4 linked regions of the Caenorhabditis elegans genome follow. The protein of the gene in region 4 purifies or fractionates together with the protein of the main gene of each other region. This does not show direct contact. Each region holds a gene or a part of one and is shown on either strand. Other genes may lie near its edges.

What was found.
Region 1: the proteins of ani-1 (region 4) and rpl-14 purify together in Caenorhabditis elegans (affinity purification with mass spectrometry, with the first as the bait; one large-scale study listed by BioGRID). This does not show direct contact.
Region 2: the proteins of ani-1 (region 4) and ran-1 purify together in Caenorhabditis elegans (affinity purification with mass spectrometry, with the first as the bait; one large-scale study listed by BioGRID). This does not show direct contact.
Region 3: the proteins of ani-1 (region 4) and snr-4 purify together in Caenorhabditis elegans (affinity purification with mass spectrometry, with the first as the bait; one large-scale study listed by BioGRID). This does not show direct contact.

Annotation. Positions count from the first base shown.
Region 1 is NC_003279.8:9,687,216-9,690,954, forward strand, and holds rpl-14 (Large ribosomal subunit protein eL14), read left to right. Parts: upstream 1-1,981; 5' UTR 1,982-1,986; coding exon 1,987-2,091; intron 2,092-2,437; coding exon 2,438-2,632; intron 2,633-2,723; coding exon 2,724-2,831; 3' UTR 2,832-2,866; downstream 2,867-3,739. Other genes in the region: ikb-1 (Death domain-containing protein), read left to right, coding at 46-179, 236-505, 553-898, 944-1,377; nssp-7 (Activin_recp domain-containing protein), read right to left, coding at 2,915-3,175, 3,223-3,342.
Region 2 is NC_003281.10:10,746,081-10,749,941, reverse strand, and holds ran-1 (GTP-binding nuclear protein ran-1), read left to right. Parts: upstream 1-2,213; 5' UTR 2,214-2,215; coding exon 2,216-2,333; intron 2,334-2,381; coding exon 2,382-2,507; intron 2,508-2,554; coding exon 2,555-2,676; intron 2,677-2,723; coding exon 2,724-2,912; intron 2,913-2,959; coding exon 2,960-3,052; 3' UTR 3,053-3,361; downstream 3,362-3,861. Other genes in the region: dkc-1 (Putative H/ACA ribonucleoprotein complex subunit 4), read right to left, coding at 14-737, 787-1,265, 1,308-1,394, 1,453-1,500; rib-2 (Exostosin-like-3 homolog), read right to left, coding at 3,417-3,603, 3,656-3,807. UniProt on the Caenorhabditis elegans protein: Ran GTPase system comprises ran-1, ran-2 and ran-3 and is essential in nucleocytoplasmic transport. Ran-1 is a GTP-binding protein that mediates the interaction between mitotic chromosomes and kinetochore microtubules.
Region 3 is NC_003283.11:11,977,786-11,981,986, reverse strand, and holds snr-4 (putative small nuclear ribonucleoprotein Sm D2), read left to right. Parts: upstream 1-2,263; 5' UTR 2,264-2,290; coding exon 2,291-2,298; intron 2,299-2,348; coding exon 2,349-2,522; intron 2,523-2,653; exon of another isoform or gene 2,654-2,674; intron 2,675-3,125; coding exon 3,126-3,300; 3' UTR 3,301-3,479; downstream 3,480-4,201. Other genes in the region: rpt-1 (26S proteasome regulatory subunit 7), read left to right, coding at 1-94, 142-684, 898-1,251; MIF-like protein mif-2, read left to right, coding at 3,583-3,636, 3,732-3,800. UniProt on the Caenorhabditis elegans protein: Plays a role in pre-mRNA splicing as a core component of the spliceosomal U1, U2, U4 and U5 small nuclear ribonucleoproteins (snRNPs), the building blocks of the spliceosome.
Region 4 is NC_003281.10:12,447,086-12,455,678, reverse strand, and holds the start of ani-1 (Anillin-like protein 1), read left to right. Parts: upstream 1-2,476; 5' UTR 2,477-2,494; coding exon 2,495-2,621; intron 2,622-2,686; coding exon 2,687-3,402; intron 3,403-4,810; coding exon 4,811-5,077; intron 5,078-5,141; coding exon 5,142-5,285; intron 5,286-5,922; coding exon 5,923-7,175; intron 7,176-7,234; coding exon 7,235-7,574; intron 7,575-8,320; coding exon 8,321-8,593. Other genes in the region: scav-3 (Sensory neuron membrane protein 2), read left to right, coding at 83-332, 629-757, 862-1,243, 1,323-1,566, 1,615-1,810, 1,864-1,953. UniProt on the Caenorhabditis elegans protein: Required for contractile events in embryos that occur prior to mitosis, such as cortical ruffling and pseudocleavage. Promotes membrane ruffling by organizing cortical patches of septins and myosin II. Not generally required for cytokinesis in mitotic cells.

The sequences.
Region 1 (3,739 bases), on a different chromosome or scaffold from region 4:
ATCTTATTTTTGGCGCAATATTTTGCATATGGGTAATATTTTCAGAAGTGATAAATGTACAAAACACACATGGTCTTACTGCACTACATGTAGCTATAAGGACTGGAGATCCCGATGCTGTTCATTATCTCATGAATCATGGAGCCAAAATTGACATATCAGATAATCATGGGAGCACAGTAAGTATATAACAGACAAAATGTTCGCTTTGTGTAGATTATTCAATACTTCTCAGGCTCTACATTATCTTGGAGATGCATACAATGAATCAATTTTCAAAGAAATATTAGAACCATCTAGAGGTCAACGGTTTGATGTGAATCAGCTGAATTCGGAGGGATTTGCACCGATTCACGTGGCAGTAAGAAGGTTGAAGCTGTCGTTGATTGAGATGCTCATTGAAGCGGGAGCATTGATTGATTTTTTGGATACTGAAAAGAAAAGAAATGCGTTGATGCACGCAATTGAAATGAATGATTTTGAGACTATTCAGCTTTTGGTTGAGGTAACTGTACATAGAAAAACATTGTTTTAAATTTAATATTTTTTCAGAGAGGATCAGGAACAAATATAGAAGATGAATCTGGAGAGACTGCATTGAGCTTGGCTGTAAAAAACGTTAACTATCCAGTGATTGGCCTTCTTTTAGATAATGGAGCTGATCCGAATAGACAAAATTCTAAAGGAATATGCTTGGCAGATAGTGAAGATAGTGTTATTCAAAACATTATAAATGGAGATAGACCCGAACTACCCAAGAAAGAAGCTTTTGGTGTTCCTAATGATTTAGCTATTTCTAGATCTCCCTTATTTGGGAGATCTCATCCAGATCAGGCTCCAGGTGAAGAGAGTGGGCGGCACAGAGTTGTGAAGAGATCTAGAGAAGAAATATTAAATGGTATGTTTTCTGAAAGATTTTTTGAAATTAGATCCGTTTTTGTAGACGCTCAAACTCTTCTCGCTGAAACTGACTCCATGGCTCCACGTGTTTCGAGAATATCCACATCTGAATCTGAAGATGAGCAACAGCCGGGACCCTCAACATCGTCGGGAACACGAAGGCGTCGAAGTGAATGGGATCGGAATCCGAAGCTTAGTGATTCGGTCTGCAATTTAGATTATTTGACCCGAATTCGCGTTGCAAAAATATTTGATGATCAGTGCAAATGGCAAAGATTGGCACAACAACTCAATTGTGATCACATGGTGGAACTTATTTCTATTTGCTCATCGGGAGACGATTCAAGCCCGACTATGATTCTTTTGGACCAATTTGAACAACTTGAAGACTCATCAATTTCCCGATTGCGCGATGCTATGAATCAAATGGCAGAAGATGATGCAGTTAAATTAATTGATTCCCGTTATGTTTACTGAATATCGCAGAATTGTTTTTATTTATTTTGTTTTCAGTAATAAAACTTTACCATGCATCCTGTATTAATTTACAAAATGCAATTTATATCGAAAAACTGGACTAAGTTGCTTTTTCCTAAAATATGAACACGACTTTTTTGAAAATTCACCGGTTTAATGAAATTCATACAGGTTCAGTACAAATACATACATTAATCACTGAAATTACATAAGAGCAAACAATTGAGCAAAGTTCCCCTTCCTACAATGAAAAAGATGAGATAAACTGCGCCGCAGTTGCGTTGGGTGCGCCGCATACTTGCACGTGTCCCGCCCCATGTGGGTCTCGCCACGAAATTGTCACCGTAGCCTATGGCTGTCTTACTCATTTTGCGATTTTTTTCCCAAATTTTCTTCTTTTTCAGCAAATTTTTGATATTTTTCGGTTGTTTCTGTGATAAAAACGATATAAGAAAAATTCAGAACCAGTTTGTCTATCGATTAATACTAAAATCATAAGTTTTTGCTCAAAATATATCGTTTTAGCTGGTGAAGTCAATTTTTTCGGTGTTTCTTCACTTCTCAATGTACGCGTTATAATTTTGATTTATTATTTAATTTTCAGTAAACATGGTCTTCAACCGTGTCGTTCAAATTGGGCGCGTCGTCTTCATCGCCTCCGGCAAAGACCAAGGCAAGCTTGCTGCCATCGTCAACGTTATCGACGGAAACAGAGTAAGTCATTTATTAATTAAGAAAAAAAAATGTATAGCAGATTTATTGAATTTTACTTAAACTTTTTAAAACGTTTAGATTATCAATGCGATCAGAAATGTTTGTAAAATGCAAAAATCGGAAAGCATAGCTCTGAATCATTAAATAGTGAAATCATCACTGAAATATGCTCGTTAAAGTGATTTACTGAACAATTAGTAATTAGATTGTTAATTTATGATTAATCACAACTTCCCTTTTGAAATTGTTTCGAATATAATCGATATAAATTTAGCTGAGCGTTTGTTTTAAGCAAACACGTAGCCCCAAGAAAACATAAATACAGGCTTCTAATTGTTATTTTCAGGTTCAAATCGATGGACCATCCTCCGATGTCACTCGCACCGTCAGAAACTTGAAGGATCTTCAGCTCACCAAGTTCGTCCTCAAGCTCCGTGTTGGACAACGCACCAAGGGAGTTAAGGCAGCTTTCGATGCCGCCAAGGTCACCGAGAACTTCCAGAAGACTCAATGGGCCAAGAAGATCGCTCAAAGAGCTATCGTAAGTCACTATTTCCGATATTTTTAAAGTTAGCTTGGTTTTTGTATTAAAATTAGCATTTTCGGCTCACTTTAACCATTTTTACTTGCAGAGAGCCAAGCTCACCGACTTCGAGAGATACAAGCTCATGAAGGCCAAGCAGATGAGAAACAGAATCGTCCGAGTGGAGCTCGCCAAACTGAAGAAGGCCCAAAAGTAAAACGTTGTTTTGTTTTTAATGAAATGTTGTTTAAAAAATTGTTCGAAATTTATAGCTTGGCGAGTTTATTACTAAAATTGACTTCAACAAAACATAATAAGCAATGTGATGAAAAGTGCGATAGAAGTGAAAAGCGGAGTGGTTGATCCGTGGTTTGAGAAGTTTCCAGAGCTGCAACAGATTTCTTCCTCTTTTCCTTGAGTGTCGGTTCTGGTGAAGCAGTCATTTCCGTGGTCCTTGCATTCACCAGCATGCTCGCATCGGCCCGAAATGAACGGAAGATTAGTTCCTACGCTGCTTCCGGTGACCTTCACACAATATTCTGCTTTCGAATGGCATCTTGGCTGAAGCAATGCAAAATCTTATCAATACAAATAGCAGTTGAACTCACGTTTCGCTCAGCCTTCGGAATCGGTTGTCCTTGTGGGACTCTGTAGTGAGTACACTGAATGATAGCCATAGAAACGGGCACCAGTAATAAAAGAATGACAGGTGGGTGTAGAAACCGCATCTGAAAATAGTTAAAATGTAAGAATCAGAAGTTCGAAGTGTCATAGAGATCAGCTGAAGTCAAATAAAATGTGAAAATATAAAATAAACTGAATCAATGCGAACCCTATGGACATCATCAGGATTGAGAGACAAGAAACTTGGAACAAAACGGAACGAAAAAAGGAGAGCAAAGACTTAACGGAAACGAGTAGCGAGGGATCAAAATTTGTCCATTTTTGAAGGACGGATGAGTGTTAACTCTTTTCTTCGTATGCTTTTATGCTTTTCCCCTTTTCTGAGCCGCTTTTTTCATTGAAATTCGTCAAAACGCTTCGTAACTGGTGGCAGTGAAAGATTGCAGTTTTCCGGACGAAGAAGGACTCTTTTCTCCGTCATTTTCCTTCGTCCGTCTTCTA
Region 2 (3,861 bases), 1.7 Mb from region 4:
CATAAAAATGAGCTTAATCGCTATCACTATCACTCGACTCTTGCTTCTTGGACTTTTTGGATTTCTTCTTCGGTGCCTCCTCCTCTTCCTCGTCTGGCGTCTCCTCTTTCTTGACTTCTTTCTTCGTCGAAGTTTGAACGTACTCCTTGGCCCACGATTTTGGAGTAGTGTCATTTGGTTTTCCGAATTTGTCTAGAAGTCCGTCCTTGACCATTTGCTTCTTCTTGGATGCAACCGGTCCAAGTCCCCACTTTCTTCCGTACACATCACGCTCCATAATGACACGCTTCGACTTGGCAACGACTCCGTGATCGACTGAAGCGATCGTTGATGTGTTCATCTGAGCAATAGCGATGCAGATGGCTTCTCCCTTCGTCGACATGATGACGATCTCCTTGCCAACCTCGATGTCATCGTCGTAACGAAGAATTCCGGGAATAAGGATCTTGGCTCCGTAGCAGATCGCGTTGATGCAACTGTCCTTGACAACAACTCTCTTGTGCTGGGTGAGAAGAGCCTCAAGTGGACGAACGATGTGTCTCATGTAGCTCTCGTCTTTCTGGGTGTCTAGGAGATACTGAGCATCGAGAACGTCGTGCATTGTGACCATATTCTCGTTTTCATCGCAGATTCCGGATCTGTTTCTGCGAAGCTCTTGCATTTGACCTCCGCATCCGAGGATGAGACCGAGATGCACACAAATTGTACGAACGTAGGTTCCCGACTCGCAGATGCAGCTGAAATTAAATGAAAACTAGAAATTAGATTTATTATAAGGATTCTTACTTGAAAATTCCCATCTGTTGAGCTGGATCATACTCGATGAACTTGTTCTCGTAAACGGTACGAATACGAAGCTGACGCTTGACAGCTGAGATCAGTGGTGGGCGTTGGAAGAGGGCTCCGGTGAGCTTCTCGAGGGCTTGCTTCACCTTGCGATCATCCTCAACTTCCTCGTGGAGCTTGAAGATGCAGATGTATTCCTTTCCAGCTCCTTGCTGCGACTTGGCCAAACGAGTGGTACGGTCGATACAAACGATCAGACATCCCGATACTTTTGGATCGAGTGTTCCACTGTGTCCGGTCTTCTCGCAACGAAGAATTCTCTTGATCCAGGACACGACTTCGTGAGAAGATGGGTTCGATGGTTTGTCAAGATTGAAGAATCCAGACGAAATGTAGTTCTTGATGTCACGCTTTAATGGTGATACTCCCTCGACGTGTGGTGTGTAGTGATTGGTGCGCACATTCAATTTGTCGTAATTCTGAAATAATAATTTAATTTTTAAATGAGATCACTCAACTACCTTGAGCAAAAGTGGCCACTGGGAAGCATCGAGCTTGGCGGTTTCGTTCGAGGATGGAAGTTGGAATGATCCCTTCTGTTGAGCCTCCTGAAATAATGAAAATGTACTCAATATTTAATAAATGGCTTGAAAATTAAAAACTAACAGCTAGATCGTCTCCCTCAAGCTTGGAACGCTTATCCTTCTTGCCCATGATGAGATCTTCGCTGAAAAAATAACATTATTGACAAAATCCAACAGTTCTGAAGCGATTAACAAGAGTTTAAAGATTAATAAGGTTCTAATGAACTCCAAATATGCCTCATAAGCTCGTGGAAAGTGTCAAGAAGCAGAAAACCTGCCAGAAAACTATCGATTTTTTGAAAAACGAGAGAAGAAACCCCCATTGGCAGTGTGCCAGACGAAAGAGACACAGGCTGCGTGTGTGCCCCTATGCCTCAACACACACGGGGTTCTACGCAAAAACATTTTCGAATTTTGTTCATTTTGGCGCGCAAATCTGGCTTGTTGCGCCATTTTCGAATACTTTTCTTGTCCCTGGCGCCAAGTTTTGTCATCTTTTTTCGGTTTTTTCATTCATTTTGATGCATTTGCGTTGTTTCCTCAGTTGGTTCACTGTAATTTTCGAGTTCTCTCTGATTTTGCTCCATGAGCAAGCTCTGATCACGAGATAATCTCTCTGCTCAGCTTCACGTCTCTTCTAAAACTTTTTTGCTCAATTCTAAATACACATTATCCGAACATTCTTGTTTTTGAAATATTTATCCACCGCTTCGTGATTTTCAACTGAAGCTTCGGTAATACGTAGAATTTCGCAATAATTCGCATTTTCGAAAAGTTTCGTGCTATTTTCCTCTTGACAATCTTTTTCCTTCGTATTTTATTCTCCTCATCTCCTCATTTCAGTCATGTCTGGTGGAGACGGCATCCCAACTTTCAAGCTTGTCCTTGTCGGAGATGGAGGAACCGGAAAGACTACCTTCGTTAAACGTCACTTGACTGGAGAGTTCGAGAAGAAGTATGTTGGTAAGTAATTCAGGAATTTGTTTCTCCCAGTTCAATAATTGTTTTCAGCCACTCTCGGAGTCGAAGTTCACCCACTTGTCTTCCACACCAATCGCGGACAAATTCGTTTCAACGTTTGGGACACCGCCGGACAGGAGAAATTTGGTGGTCTTCGTGACGGATACTACATCCAAGGTATGTTAAAATTCGAAATTATAACTTCTGAAATGCCCAATTTCCAGGACAATGCGCCATTATCATGTTCGATGTTACCGCTCGTGTCACCTACAAGAATGTCCCGAACTGGCATCGCGATTTGGCCAGAGTATGTGAAAACATTCCAATTGTTCTCTGCGGAAATAAGGTAATCACTAGCTGAAACTGGCCAATATATTCAATTACAAATTTCAGGTCGACGTCAAGGACCGTAAAGTGAAGGCCAAGACCATCACCTTCCACCGAAAGAAGAACCTCCAATACTACGACATCTCCGCAAAGTCGAACTATAACTTCGAAAAGCCATTCCTCTGGCTCGCCAGAAAGCTGCTCGGAGATCCAAACCTCGAGTTTGTCGCAATGCCAGCTTTGGCTCCTCCAGAGGTATTTTTAAATCCATGTTCTTTCATAAGCAATATTTTAATTTCCAGGTTCAAATGGACCCAGCCATGATTGCCGAATACGAAAAGGATCTGGACAACGCCGCCAAGGCTGATCTTCCAGATGACGACGATGATCTTTAAACACTTTAACCTTTCAAAATCCTTGTTTTCAAATCTCACAAAACCATCCCACCTAAATTTACCATTTTATACATTTCATATGCCAATTAATTTCTTAACTTAAAAATAATTTGCATACCCAACCGGTGTCTACAATTCAAAGTGCTGGCTTGGGTAGAAGAAGGATTGTACATTTGCTGTTTGATCGTTGTGCGAATGAATTGAAGAAATGGTTGGCTCATCACTCTCAATCTCCATGATTTATTTTATATTTTATGTTCGACTAAAAAATTTTAAACAACTTGTTGCAATAAATTGTAGCACCATTCGACAAGTGAATTATACCGGCAATAGGGAAAGTGAGCAAATGCAGAGGGGGATTTTTTTACACATATTTAAAGCACTTTTGATGATTCTGTGGGAGACGCGTCTTGAAAAGAATCGAGTCAGCACGGAATTGGGAGAATTTCAGAGGATTGTAGCCGTAGATTTTCGTGAACAATCGCATACATTCGTGGCGTTTCTCGAAATGTGTCCCTTCTTTATACAAGCTTTCCGTGCAAGTTGGACATCTGAAAATTGAAATTATTATTAGATTAGACTCATTTAAAATCTGGAAATTACTTGAGCGTCCATCGAGAAGTCGTTTTGATTGGCGGTTTTCGTGTGAGATGAGAAACTAAATAATTCATAGCAATGTCCTCGCAGTTTTTGATGCTATTCACATGTTCACGAATTTCAGCTGGCATTTCGTAGGTGTAAGCAGTCAAATAGTTCTGAAATTTTTAACGTTTTAGATTTTATACGGGTTTTACCCAGACGCGGGAATT
Region 3 (4,201 bases), on a different chromosome or scaffold from region 4:
CGACAAGCACGATCCGCGTTACTTGATCAACGTAAAACAGTTCGCTAAGTTTGTTGTAGACCTTGCTGATTCCGTTGCACCTACTGATATTGAGGTTTGAAATTGTAATTAGATTTCACACATAATTGAAAAATGATTCAGGAGGGCATGAGAGTAGGAGTAGACCGTAACAAGTATCAAATTCATCTTCCGTTGCCCGCCAAAATTGATCCAACCGTCACAATGATGCAGGTTGAAGAAAAACCAGATGTAACATATTCGGATGTCGGAGGCTGCAAGGATCAAATTGAAAAGCTTCGAGAAGTTGTCGAGACTCCACTTCTTCATCCCGAGCGTTACGTTAATCTCGGAATCGAGCCACCAAAAGGAGTTTTGCTCTACGGTCCACCAGGAACAGGAAAGACGCTTTGCGCTCGTGCCGTTGCCAATCGAACAGATGCTTGCTTCATTCGTGTTATTGGATCAGAGTTGGTTCAGAAATATGTCGGAGAAGGAGCTCGAATGGTTCGTGAGTTGTTCGAAATGGCTCGTACCAAGAAGGCATGTCTTATCTTCTTTGATGAAATTGATGCTGTTGGAGGTGCTCGTTTTGATGATGGACAAGGAGGTGACAATGAAGTTCAACGTACTATGCTCGAGTTGATTAACCAACTTGACGGATTCGATCCACGTGGAAACATCAAGGTTTGTCTTTAATTCTTTATGGAAATAACCCAAAAAAATCTGTAATATAAATTTATTTATCTCTTGCTTTCTTGAAGGCAGTTTATATCATTAGTTCAGTCCTTTCATCCAAAAAAAAAGACACACATTTTTCGTTTGATAAGTTTCCAAAAAATTAATGCTTACATGTATTGTAAATATGAGTGTTTCATTAAAATAATTTGATATTTTCAGGTGCTTATGGCAACAAACAGACCGGACACTCTCGATCCCGCTCTCATGAGACCTGGTCGATTGGATCGTAAAGTCGAATTCGCTCTTCCAGACCTTGCAGGTCGTGCTCACATTCTCAAGATTCATGCAAAACAAATGAGCGTTGAAAGAGATATTCGTTATGATTTACTTGCTCGTCTGTGCCCAAACAGTACAGGAGCCGAAATTCGCTCAGTCTGCACCGAAGCTGGAATGTTTGCAATTCGTGCTAGAAGAAAGGTGGCAACTGAAAAAGATTTCCTTGAAGCTATCAATAAGGTTGTCAAGGGATATGCCAAATTCAGCGCCACTCCAAGATATCTGACACATAATTAATTGTACCCTATTCGGTTTTCATTCTCTTTCCGGTCCTCGATTAACTTATTTTCGCCCGTCCACCCATTTTTTTTTGTACAGATTCCCCATGTCTCCGATTTTTGTCTTATTTATTACATCCTATCGTCGTGAGATGCACCCAAGTTGGCCCAACACTGTCAGATGTATTCGTTTCGATTTTATGGATAAATGTGATTGGGTTTCTGACTATTAAAACTTGTATACACCAGTTTAAATGAATCTGAAAACGTGCCATAAAACCTTTTCATAAGAAGAGTAGTAATCTAAACGCGATTACGGTGTAATGCCAGAAAAAGTAAGAATAGAAGAAATTGGCAAGCGTATTTTAATGGTACTAATATTGTGCACACTTTACCTAGGAATATATTTTTCATCTCTACAATGTTGACTAGCGCCCTGAATGCTCCAAGGATACTGTTTTCCAACTAAATGTTCAACTGTTCAGTATTTATATTCTGCCTCCTAGAGGCGTTCAAAAATTGCGTATGCCACCCATGTTTCAGGGGACATCGCGGGCAATTGGGAAAAGTTTTCAACCAGCAATAAACGCACCTCGGCAAAGCCTCATTGGTCACGTTATCGCCCCAGCGCAAAGCTAAATTCAGCAGCTCACTCAGCTGATCCTATAAAACACAGCAACCGACAAATCGCGGCTTTCGCGCACAATGGTGCTTTCTGCATTCTGTATTCTTCGGAATGCGGCGCGTGTGCGTTGCGGTCGTCTTTTTCGAATTGCAATCGCTCGCGGTTTATCGGAGTCTCTCTGTTTTCTTGAAACGAATCTCTTCCCTTCGATTAAAACTGCATAAAAACTAATAAAAATCTCAAAATTGATTTTTCTTCTACTTTCTTAAGATCTGTAAAGTTTCGTTCCTCCGAATTCCTCTTTATGATTATTTAGAAAACCTCGCCCAATACCTTATTCTTCACTCTTATCGGTATTTTTTACATGAAATTATCATTGATTCTCAGCTAACCAATTTAATTTCAGGGACTTCTATCAAAATCAACTTTGATCATGTCGGCGTGAGTTCACATTGTTTTCATTGACCAGTAGTTTAAATTTATTTTTACAGCCAAGCCAAACCCCGTTCAGAGATGACTGCTGAAGAACTCGCTGCAAAGGAGGACGAGGAATTCAATGTCGGACCACTCTCCATCCTCACCAACTCAGTCAAAAACAATCATCAAGTTCTCATCAATTGCAGAAACAACAAGAAGCTTCTCGGAAGAGTTAAGGCTTTTGACAGGTTAGGTTTCTTAGAAATACTATTAAGTAAAAACTCACAAGTATTTGTCGGTAGTAAACTTCAGACAACATTTTTTAAAGAAAAGTGTTTCAAAAATAATATTTGAATCATCGATAGTGAACGTATTTTGGTTGTCGTCTCGATGCTGTAGCAAAATATCATTTACTATATATAATGCATTTATTCCGTTTGTCCATAGTTTGTAGTCTGTGAAGGTTTGGCTTAGTGTAGGGATATAGTCGGGGTACTGTAGTGGTACAATAGTGGTACGGTAGGAGTACTGTATGATTATGGTAGTTTCAGAAAAATTAGTTTTCAGCCCCAGAAGTCGGGGCAGCGCCAGAGGTGCGGTCCACGGCTGGTAGATTTAATAAAACGGCACGATCCTCCTGTGCTGTAACAAATTGTCGTGGCATCAAATTATTCAAACACGTATTGCTACGATTTCCAAAGGGAAAACACAAATCTTACACTAATATAAGTACTTTCTCATTTGCCGTAACTTTCGTGTCCCGCAAAGCATGCAAAATTCCAAGAGGAGTTTTCTACTATTGTTCGTATAAAAATAATTGGAACGTATAGTCTAATTCTTTACTTTTTCAGACATTGCAACATGGTCCTCGAAAATGTGAAGGAAATGTGGACTGAAGTGCCAAAGACTGGAAAGGGAAAGAAGAAGGCAAAGTCTGTCGCCAAAGATCGTTTCATCTCAAAAATGTTCCTCCGCGGAGACTCCGTCATTCTCGTCGTCAAAAACCCACTGGCACAAGCTGAATAATTCACCTTCAGAAAATCTCCCAATCAGTACGGTTTTCTCGTATTTGTTATGACACCTTACAATTTTCGAAATTTTCACTCTTGTTCTTCCCCCTCCCGTTCACCCTGTTGTTTCGTTTCAATGATCATCATTTTCCACTTTTTATTTATTGATAAACGTTCCTATTTAATACCACAGTCGTGTTTTTTTCTGAAGTTGAATCCGTATCCTCGCGGCAGATGATTTTTGTAGTTCTGCGTGATTGTTGCTTGAACTTGAAACCGGTTTTTCGATTTTTCGTCGATGTTGACTGTCAGTGCTATCAGAATATCATCGTCTTTCGTCTTCAAAGTTCAGGTTACTATTGGTCGTTATTTTTTGAATAAAAACGCTATATTCCACGTTTTTCATGAAATGTGATTTATTGCCATATTCCAAAAAATCAATTTCAGAAACGAAAAATGCCGATGGTCAGAGTTGCGACGAATCTACCAAATGAGAAGGTTCCTGTTGATTTTGAGGTTTGTGTTTTAATCAAACATTTTCTAAACGACTCAACAAACACTGAACAGTCTAGAGAAAATTTGTAGAAAAAAACAAGTATTTTAAGAGAAACAAATATGGTTCCCGGTCTCGACACGACGAGTTTTTTCGTTGCGAGAAAGTGTGCGCCTTTAAAGATTACTGTAATTTTATACTCGAGTTTCTGCAGAATTCTTAAAGATTTTATATAGTTTTTCTCACAATAAGTTTTTCAATGAAAATATTTTTAACGAAAAACTATGAACAATTGATGAAAATTCCTCAGCAAGGGAAGTTTAAAATTACAGTACTCTTTAAAGGTGCACACCTTTTTTTTTGCATTTTACAAGCACCTGTCGTCTCGAAACCAGGTACAGTATTTTGGGACCACAACTTGGCA
Region 4 (8,593 bases):
TTTCGATATCAGGGTTATTTTTTCAGAATTTGAGGCTATTTTTAAATTTTTTGAAGCAAAATCCCATTAAAAATTTTTTCAGCGAAGTACAAGAGAAGGTCTATCATAGATTTGCTGACAATGATACCCGAGTATTCTATAAAAATCAAAAATTATATCATTTCAACAAAAATGCTTCTTGTCCAACGTGCCATTTGGATATGAAGGTTACAATTCCGAATATTGTATTTCAAAAGCTCATCGACGCGGCTGATGTGACAATTTTTGGAGTTCGAATCAAATTTGCTATTGAGTCAGTGCTAAAAATGGTCTCCGAGGCTCCGTATATTACGGTATAGTTTTTTCTAAGAATGCGTATTGGACAGCATATTTGACGCGCAAAATATGAAATATCTCGCAGCGAAAACTACAGTAATTCGTTGAATGGCTACTGTAGCGCTTGTGTCGATTTACGGGCTCGAATTTTTTTCAATTCGAGCCCGTAAATCGACAACTCTCCAGCAGTCTCATTTAAAGAATTACTGTAGTTTTCGCTACGAGATATTTCACATTTTGCGCGTCAAATATGTTGTGCAATACGCAATTCTCGGAATTTTGTGCTCTCCGTAATATAATAGTGAAATTTTAGGTAAAAGTAAGCGATGCTCTATTCGACGGATACGAAGACCCGATAATCGATATCGTTTGTAAAAATAAAATTCTTCAATTCCTCTGCGAAACGAATTCTCTTCAGCGGAGAGTTGGATTCTTTTATGGGGTAAGATATGAGTTTGCAAGGTGCCGCACAGAAAAATAGGCGGAGCCAAATTTTGCGCAACCATGCCGCACGGTTTTCCTTCCAAAATATTGATTTTTCTTCAGCAAAATGGAACAACAGACGGAATATACGAAGTGGATGCTGGCGTGCCATCTCCATCGAAAATCGGTCATTTATACACGTGGAATAATATGACAGAAATGCCCGAAGGAACATGGGATACTAAATACGCACGAATGATTAACGGAACCGATGGACAATTGTTCAGTCCGATGCTGAAACGAGAAGACAGATTGACGATATTTGTGCCGCAAATATGTAGATCAATTCAAATGGAATACACAAAAGATGTCGCTGTGAATGGGGTTCCTTCGTGGAGATATGCACCACCTTTGGATCTTTACGATCCTGCTCTTCCGCAGAATCGAGCATTTTGTAATAAGAATGGAATGCCGCGATATTTTGATAATACTACTGTGCAAATTGGTGAGAGAGAGAGAGAGAGTTTTATTTTAAAAAATTCGATTGTAAATTTAAATTTAAATTTTAATATTAATTTTTCCAGAAAACTGCCTCCCTGCCGGTCTTATCGACTTGTCACGATGCCAAGCCGGCAATCCACGTGTCTATCTATCCAATCCACACTTCTACAACTCACCAATGGAGCTGTGGCATTCCGTCACTGGGCTCTCGGTGCCAACTGCTTCAAATGACCTGACTGTTGTAGATATTGAGCCAACTGCCGGCGTTCCAACTCAAGCGAAAAGAATTATGCAGATTAATGTGGGAATGGTCAAGGGATCCTTGAGGTTTACCTATTACGAAATTGAAATCTCTAATAATTATCGATTTTTCAGTGTCACCGAAAACACGACAAACGTCGTTGTTCCAGTCCTTTGGATGAACGAAACTGCGTATTTCGATCAAGGAACTCGTGATCAGCTGATTAATATTTTCAACGCAAAACATTATTCATTTATTGGAGGTGTTATCAGCTTGTCACTTGGTCTTATCGCCTGGCTTGCCGTTTTTGTTGTAATCATTGTTTATTCGGTAATTATATTATTGTTGGTTTTCTGCAAAATTCAATTTCCTCTAATTTACAGCGACAATCCGACGAAGAAGAGTACGGACGTCTTGTGCTGGAGGATGAGGACGAAGAGCCTGCGCAAGACGAGAACGCAGTTTTGGCATAAATTTAAAAATTTAAATCATTTTTAATCATATTGTGATAATTTCGAATTTTTGATGCAGGTTGCAATAATTCTGGTGCTCACACGACTTAATATGGCACTTTTTCTTGTAAATATTAATTGAATAAATGATTTTTTTCGAAATTTTTTTTTATTTTGACGAAATCCCGCGAGAGGGAGAGAGAGAGAGAGCACGCGAAAAGAAGAGACGCAGATGCGCGGGATTAAAGGCGCGTTTTTTTTCACGCGTGGGTCCCACCACGCGTCGAGACCTGGTTGCCGCCAAAACAATGTATTCAAATTTTGCAACTCGATTTTAAACGTTTTTCGATTTTTTGACGTGAATTTTCACATTTTTCCTGTTTTTTGACACGTTTTCCACGAATTTTGCCCGATATAAACGCGTATTAGTCAATTTTAATTATTTTCTACAAGAAAAGCTGCGAAAAGTGCGTCGTTTTACGAATTCGTTGAAACTGTTCGCAAGTTTTGATGAGATTTTCTTGGAAACATTGTTTTCTTGCAGAACTACACTGTAAATACAATGGGGGATCAATTCGATTCTCTAATGGAACGCATACGAGTTCGGCAAGCCGAAATGTCAGGCGAAGGAGAGGTGGCAAAGGAGAATGGGCCAGTGACCTCAAAAATTACATCTGTGAAGCAAGAAGGTATATTTTGGGGTTTTTAAGAATACAGAAATATAAATATATTAATTAATATGTTTGATTTTCAGTTGCATCTCCAACAAAAGTCTTCGGAAGCTCCTCAAAATGCAACGACGGCCCGTCAACTCCAGTGCATTTTCACCCTCAAGAGCCAAAGGAGACAACTCCAAATATGAAGGAAAACGCTGAAAATTCATTAAATTCGTTCAAAGATGCCACAGTCAACGAGTCAAGCTCCAAAAAGACGTCGAGATTCTCAATGTTGGCTCAAGAAATCGATGAATACGAATATGACTACCAATCACAGTACAATAAGCCGAAAGAAGCATATATGAAGGGAAGATCTCCACGAATGTCGATCGGAGAGACACGTCCAGCAGTCCTGTGTACTCCGGCTGGAGCACAAGCCATGAAAAGCCCAAATGTAGCGGTATCGTCGAAAAGTGCTCCCGAAATCGCTCTCGGAATGTCGGATTTCGAAGCTCGCCGCATCAAATTCGCCCAGCCAATTGTGAATGTGAACTATCTGCCCAACGAATCGTCGATTTTCTCCGGAGGATCCGGATCATCTGTAAACGATCAGAGCACTGTGCTCGGAGGCTCTGCCGAAATGATGAACGTCACCACGTCGTCGCTGAGCTGTGGAGAGCTGTCGATGAATCAGCATATAACACACGAAAATACGATTATCAACGCACAATCGTGTGATAATCGAGAGGCGATTTTGAGAGAAAGACAGCAAGTTTCAAACGAAGAATATGGACCGCACACATTTATGAGAAAGGTAGAATGTTGGGAAAAGTCAATGTCCCTTTAACGAGCTCGTGTACTGTGCGTGGACAATCGCGAATTTATTTTCGTGCAGGATTTCACGGTTTTTCGTTAATTTTTCTCATTCAAAATTGCCAATCTACCTAATATTGTCGTATTTTCTCAAGATTTTGACTTGCCTTCTTAAAGGTGGATTACGCTCATTGGGGAAATTGCTTTAAACCCGCCTATGGGGTCACAATGACCGAATATCATAATAAAAAAATTTTCTAGGTTTTATATGATTTTTTGAAAATTGAAAAAATCTCAGTTTTTGCCTAATTCCTATTTGAATTACCGCCAATTGGATTTGTTCGATGGAGCGCGCTTGCGCGTTTTTAAATTTATTTATTTTATTTTTTTTTGTTATTTTCCACCGATTTTTCATGTTTTCTGTGTATTTTTACAGAAAATTTGAAGGAAAAGTCAAGACAAATGCAAATTTTCGATTAAAAAGCACGCTTACGAGCGTAAAAATGGAAAAGTAACGCTTTTAAACGATTTCGAACCTGAATTAATTAATTTCACTGATTTACGCCTGTACGTTTGCTTTTTAATCGAAAATTTGCATTTATCTTGACTTTTTCTCTAAAATTCGAGCAAAAATACACCGAAAACATTAAAAAATTGGTGGAAAATAACAAAAAATAAAATAAATGAATTTAAAAACGTGCAAGCGCGCTCCATCGAACAAATCCAATTGGCGGTAATTCAAACAGGAATTAGGCAAAAACTGAGATTTTTTCAATTTTCAAAAAATCATATAAAATTTAGAAAATTTTTTTGAATTTTTTTAATCATGATATTCGGTCATTGTGGTACCATAGGCGTGTTTTAAAGCAATTTCCCCACTGAGCGTAGTCCACCTTTAAAGGCGCATGGATGTATTCAGATGGGTCTCAGCGCGCCAAAAGTTTATTGCTTCGTATAGCGAATTTTGTCGATAAAAATCGCTTAAAACAACGTAATTTCAATGAAAAATAAAAAACAATTTAATCATAAACTTTTTAGCGCGACGAGACCCATCGGAATAAATCCTTGCGTTTTTAGGAAGACATGTCTTGTAAAATTACAATATATAATAGGTAGACTGGCAGTTTTAAATGCAGAAAAATGGACGAAAAGTGAAAAATCACCCTTTTTAGCGAAAAATTGTGAAATCCTGCAAGAACATAAATTCACGTTTGTCCACGCATAGTACACGAGCTCGTAAATCTACACAAATCTTAAAGGGACATAGCCTTAAAAATGAGATTTTGAGAAACATTTTTCGATAATAACTCCAAAATACATAGTCCGCACGCCTTTTTTAGTGATAATTTCGCACGCTTTCGAGAAAATCCTTTGTTGCCTAATCCTTTTGTTTTTTTTTTGTCGTGTAGAAGGTGCCAAAAGAAGCTTCATCTGCGACATCATCATCATCGTCAACGACAACTTTAACTACGATCTCCGGTGCATCAGGCTCTACAACGTCTGGAATATCGAATGCTCCACAGGACTCGGCTTCAACAAAAACCACGACTAATACATTTACTTCTTCGTATTTGCTCACTAAAACCTCGAACAACAACATCAATGCACTTGTCTCGTCGTCGCCAAAACCGTTTTCTAAAGATATCGGAAGATCCATGTTCTCGCCTGTGCATTTTGTATGTTTTTTTGGTTTTTTGCTTCACGCCTCTATCACCTCACCTACTAACTGCTCTCTTTCAGACTCCAAAAAGCACGTCGTCACCGAAAACTCTGTCGGAGAGCATCTTCTCGCCATCGAAATCCGCCGCAGTCGAAGGATCAATTGCGACTACGAGACGGCTTCAGTTTGAGGAGAAATTGAAGAAAAGTAGTAGCGCGAATGTTGTGAGTAGATATGATGTGGAAAATGCTCTTGGCAGCTGATTATTGCGACTGATTGGAAATTAAAAAATATTTAATTAAACTAGAAAAAATCCCCCCTGCAAAACACGATTGTTGCGATTTTGCATCCGTGACATTTTGAATTTCCACTGAAAATAGCAGATTTTTCAGATTCATCAAATTTTTAGCTTTAAAAATTTTATTTTCTGCATTTTCCGAACAAACTTTTTCGTTAAACAGTGAAAATCGAATTTAAAATGACTAAACTGAACATTTTTCGTCCACTGGTTGTGAAATGGATTGAATTTGAAAAAATCAATGGGATTTTTCTTATTTTCTAGATATTTTTCTATTAAAAATGTATTAAAACCGATTTTCAATAGAAAAATTTTTAGAAAATAAGAAAAATCCCGTTGATTTCTTCAAATTCAAAACATTTCACAGCCAGTGGACGAAAAAGGTTCATTTTAGTCATTTTAAATTCGATTTTCACTGTTTAACGAAAAAGTTTGTTCGGAAAATGCAGAAAATAAAATTCTAAAGCTAAAAATTTGATAGTTCTGAAAAATCTGCTATTTTCAGTGGAAATTCAAAATGTTGCGGATGCAAAAAGCCAAACCGGATTTCTCTCCATTTCCAGACAGCGCCTCCTGCACCTACATCAGCACCAGTTCCAACGCCACGCCACGTGGCTCCATTGGCACCTACAGTAGCCCAGCAGAGCCACTTGACTCCAAACCATCGTCATGCTGCTCAACAAAAGAAGCACCTGTTCCCCGTAGTGGGGATCGTCGCGACTGCACCGATTCCAGTTCAAACTCAATGGAGAGGACAATCGAATACTCCAGTTGTGCAGGGAGCTCGTGCCGACGAGAAGACTGCTGGTAATGAGCCACCAGTTGGAGCCGGAGTTGGAAAGCTGAAGAATTTGAAGTCGAGATGGGAGTTTTCGTCGGCAACTGGCACGCCAATACATCCTGATGCTACCGAAGATTCGTTGATTGCTACGGCAATTAAGATGAAGGAGAGTGCGATTCCGAAACAGCTTGGTCACAGATCAGAGCGAAAAGGACCATCCGCCTCGTCGCTCTACTCGCAAGGTGCTCGGAGTAACACGGCTTCTCCTGCATCGAAAAGTACTCGTTATGAGCAAGAAGAAGAAGATGATGTGTTTGAAGCTCCAGAATTTAATGATGGAGGAGACGTGATATCAGAAGATGGAATTCTTCAGGAAGAAGAAGAGGATACTTCTAAATTCATTGATAATGCATTTGGATTTATGGAAGGATCTGGGGCTGGAACGCCGAGCCCATATCGCGAGCCTCCGTTGCAACGTTTGGAAAAGAATAGGCCGCCGGCGGAGGTTATTGAAGAAGAAACTGAAAATGAGGATGAATCTGAACCCTATGAGCCGGAAGAAGAAGAGGATGACGATGCAACAACACAATTTCCTGTACCTGAAAGATCACGAAAATCAAGTTCTCAACTGGCCTACTCTGTTTCGTTTTATCGAAAAATTCAACGAGACAGAAACGAAGAATCGTCGACAGTGCTGGCCGGGCCAGTTATCAGTCAAATCAGTCCATCTGCTCCGCCGATGTCATCATCGCTCACATCACAACAGAAACTTCGACAGCTCACCACCGGGCCTGCGAATGGAGCACGAATTGTCGAGTCGGCTAAGGATGCTCACGATCGTATCAAGCGAGCGATTCAAGTTGAAGAGCAGCTTGTTGCTCAATCCAAGAGAGCAATGATATTGGCCCGGGATAAGCCAAGTTTCCGTGGATCGCGTGAGGAATTTGAAGCACAATGGGCAATGCTTCGTCATGTGGAAAAGCATCGAGCACTTCTCACTGAGTATGATCGATTGAAACGAGATGGACCGAGAATGTTAGTTTTTTTTTTCCGAATTTTTTTTTCACCTAAAAAAATATTCAATTTTTTTCCAGTATCGATGGACCACGTGGAACGATAACAGTATCCCAGTTGTCAGTGAACATGGCTCGTGATTATGTGTCAGCTAATATTGCGTCAAGCAAGAAATCCGATGAAGTCTTCTATTTCGCGGCGATTCTCCGCTACGGCGAGCAAGTCGACGTGTCGAAAATGGTGACAAGCGACGGTGGTCTGAATCGTCGTGGTGTTCTCGAGTTTCCCGTACCACTGATGTTGACCGGGATTCCACCGGATTTCCGAGCAACTGTCGAGATTTATGGACAACGATCGATGCGAGAATCGACGTCGCACGAGGATAAGTACAAGTTGAAGAATTCGACGTTTAAGGCGAAGGTTTGTTTGTTTTTTTCCGAAATATTTGTCATATTTTACATACTCGTCCGTTGAAAATTCGAAATGTCTGCTGCTATAGAATATCGACAAATGGTGTTGTTATGATGTTGTTGATGAGTGTGAGCATGAATCGAGAATGACAGCTGCTGAAAACTTAGCAAGTGAGGAGAAGAAGAGAGTGCCCCTACCCTGTAGATTGTGGAGAAGATTGCATGATGTATGTCTGTTTGTTTGTTTGTTTGTTATTGTCAAATGTCTTGTTCTTCTGTTTTCTGTTAATAATGTATCATAACTTCATCTTCTTCACGTTCCGGCAAGTGGTACATCCATGCAAATGCGCTCTACTGATAATTTGAGTGTAGACCAGGTTTGGGCGCGTGATAACGAAAAAAGCTTTGGTCCAAAAAATGTAGAATTTAATATCGGGCATTTTTTATATGCATCACAAAAAAACTGGACAACTGTTTTTGAGATACACGCGCCCAAACGTCCAGGTATACGGTAGACAAATTGCGTACAGGTACCACTTCTCGGGCCGTGTTCTTAAAGCCGCACAGATTTATTCATATGGGTCTCGGCGCGCCGTTGTTTTAAGCGAATTTTTCGCTACATACTCGCAAGCAATTTGATTGCAAAATGGAAAATAAATGAGGTTATCATGCGCTCCGAGACCCTTCTGAATAAACCCGTGCGCCTTTAATTAGACGTGTATATCAATAGAACCTGGAAATAAGTAATATTTCTAGACTCGTAACACATTCCTGGGCGGCGGATCAACTTCATCAGCAAACCAGAGCCTATTCGTCGATCCAGCAGCATCGTCATCATCAACTTCGTCGACCACATCCAACTTCAATTTGCTCGGAACATTCTCGTTCGACATCAATTGCCCTGGAAAACATTTGTACAACATGTCACATACTGTATATCCGCTCGAAGGTATTACACAGATGAAAGTACGCAAACAGGCGATCGATGGAGCTGATATCACTTATCACGGATTCTTGTCAATGTATCAG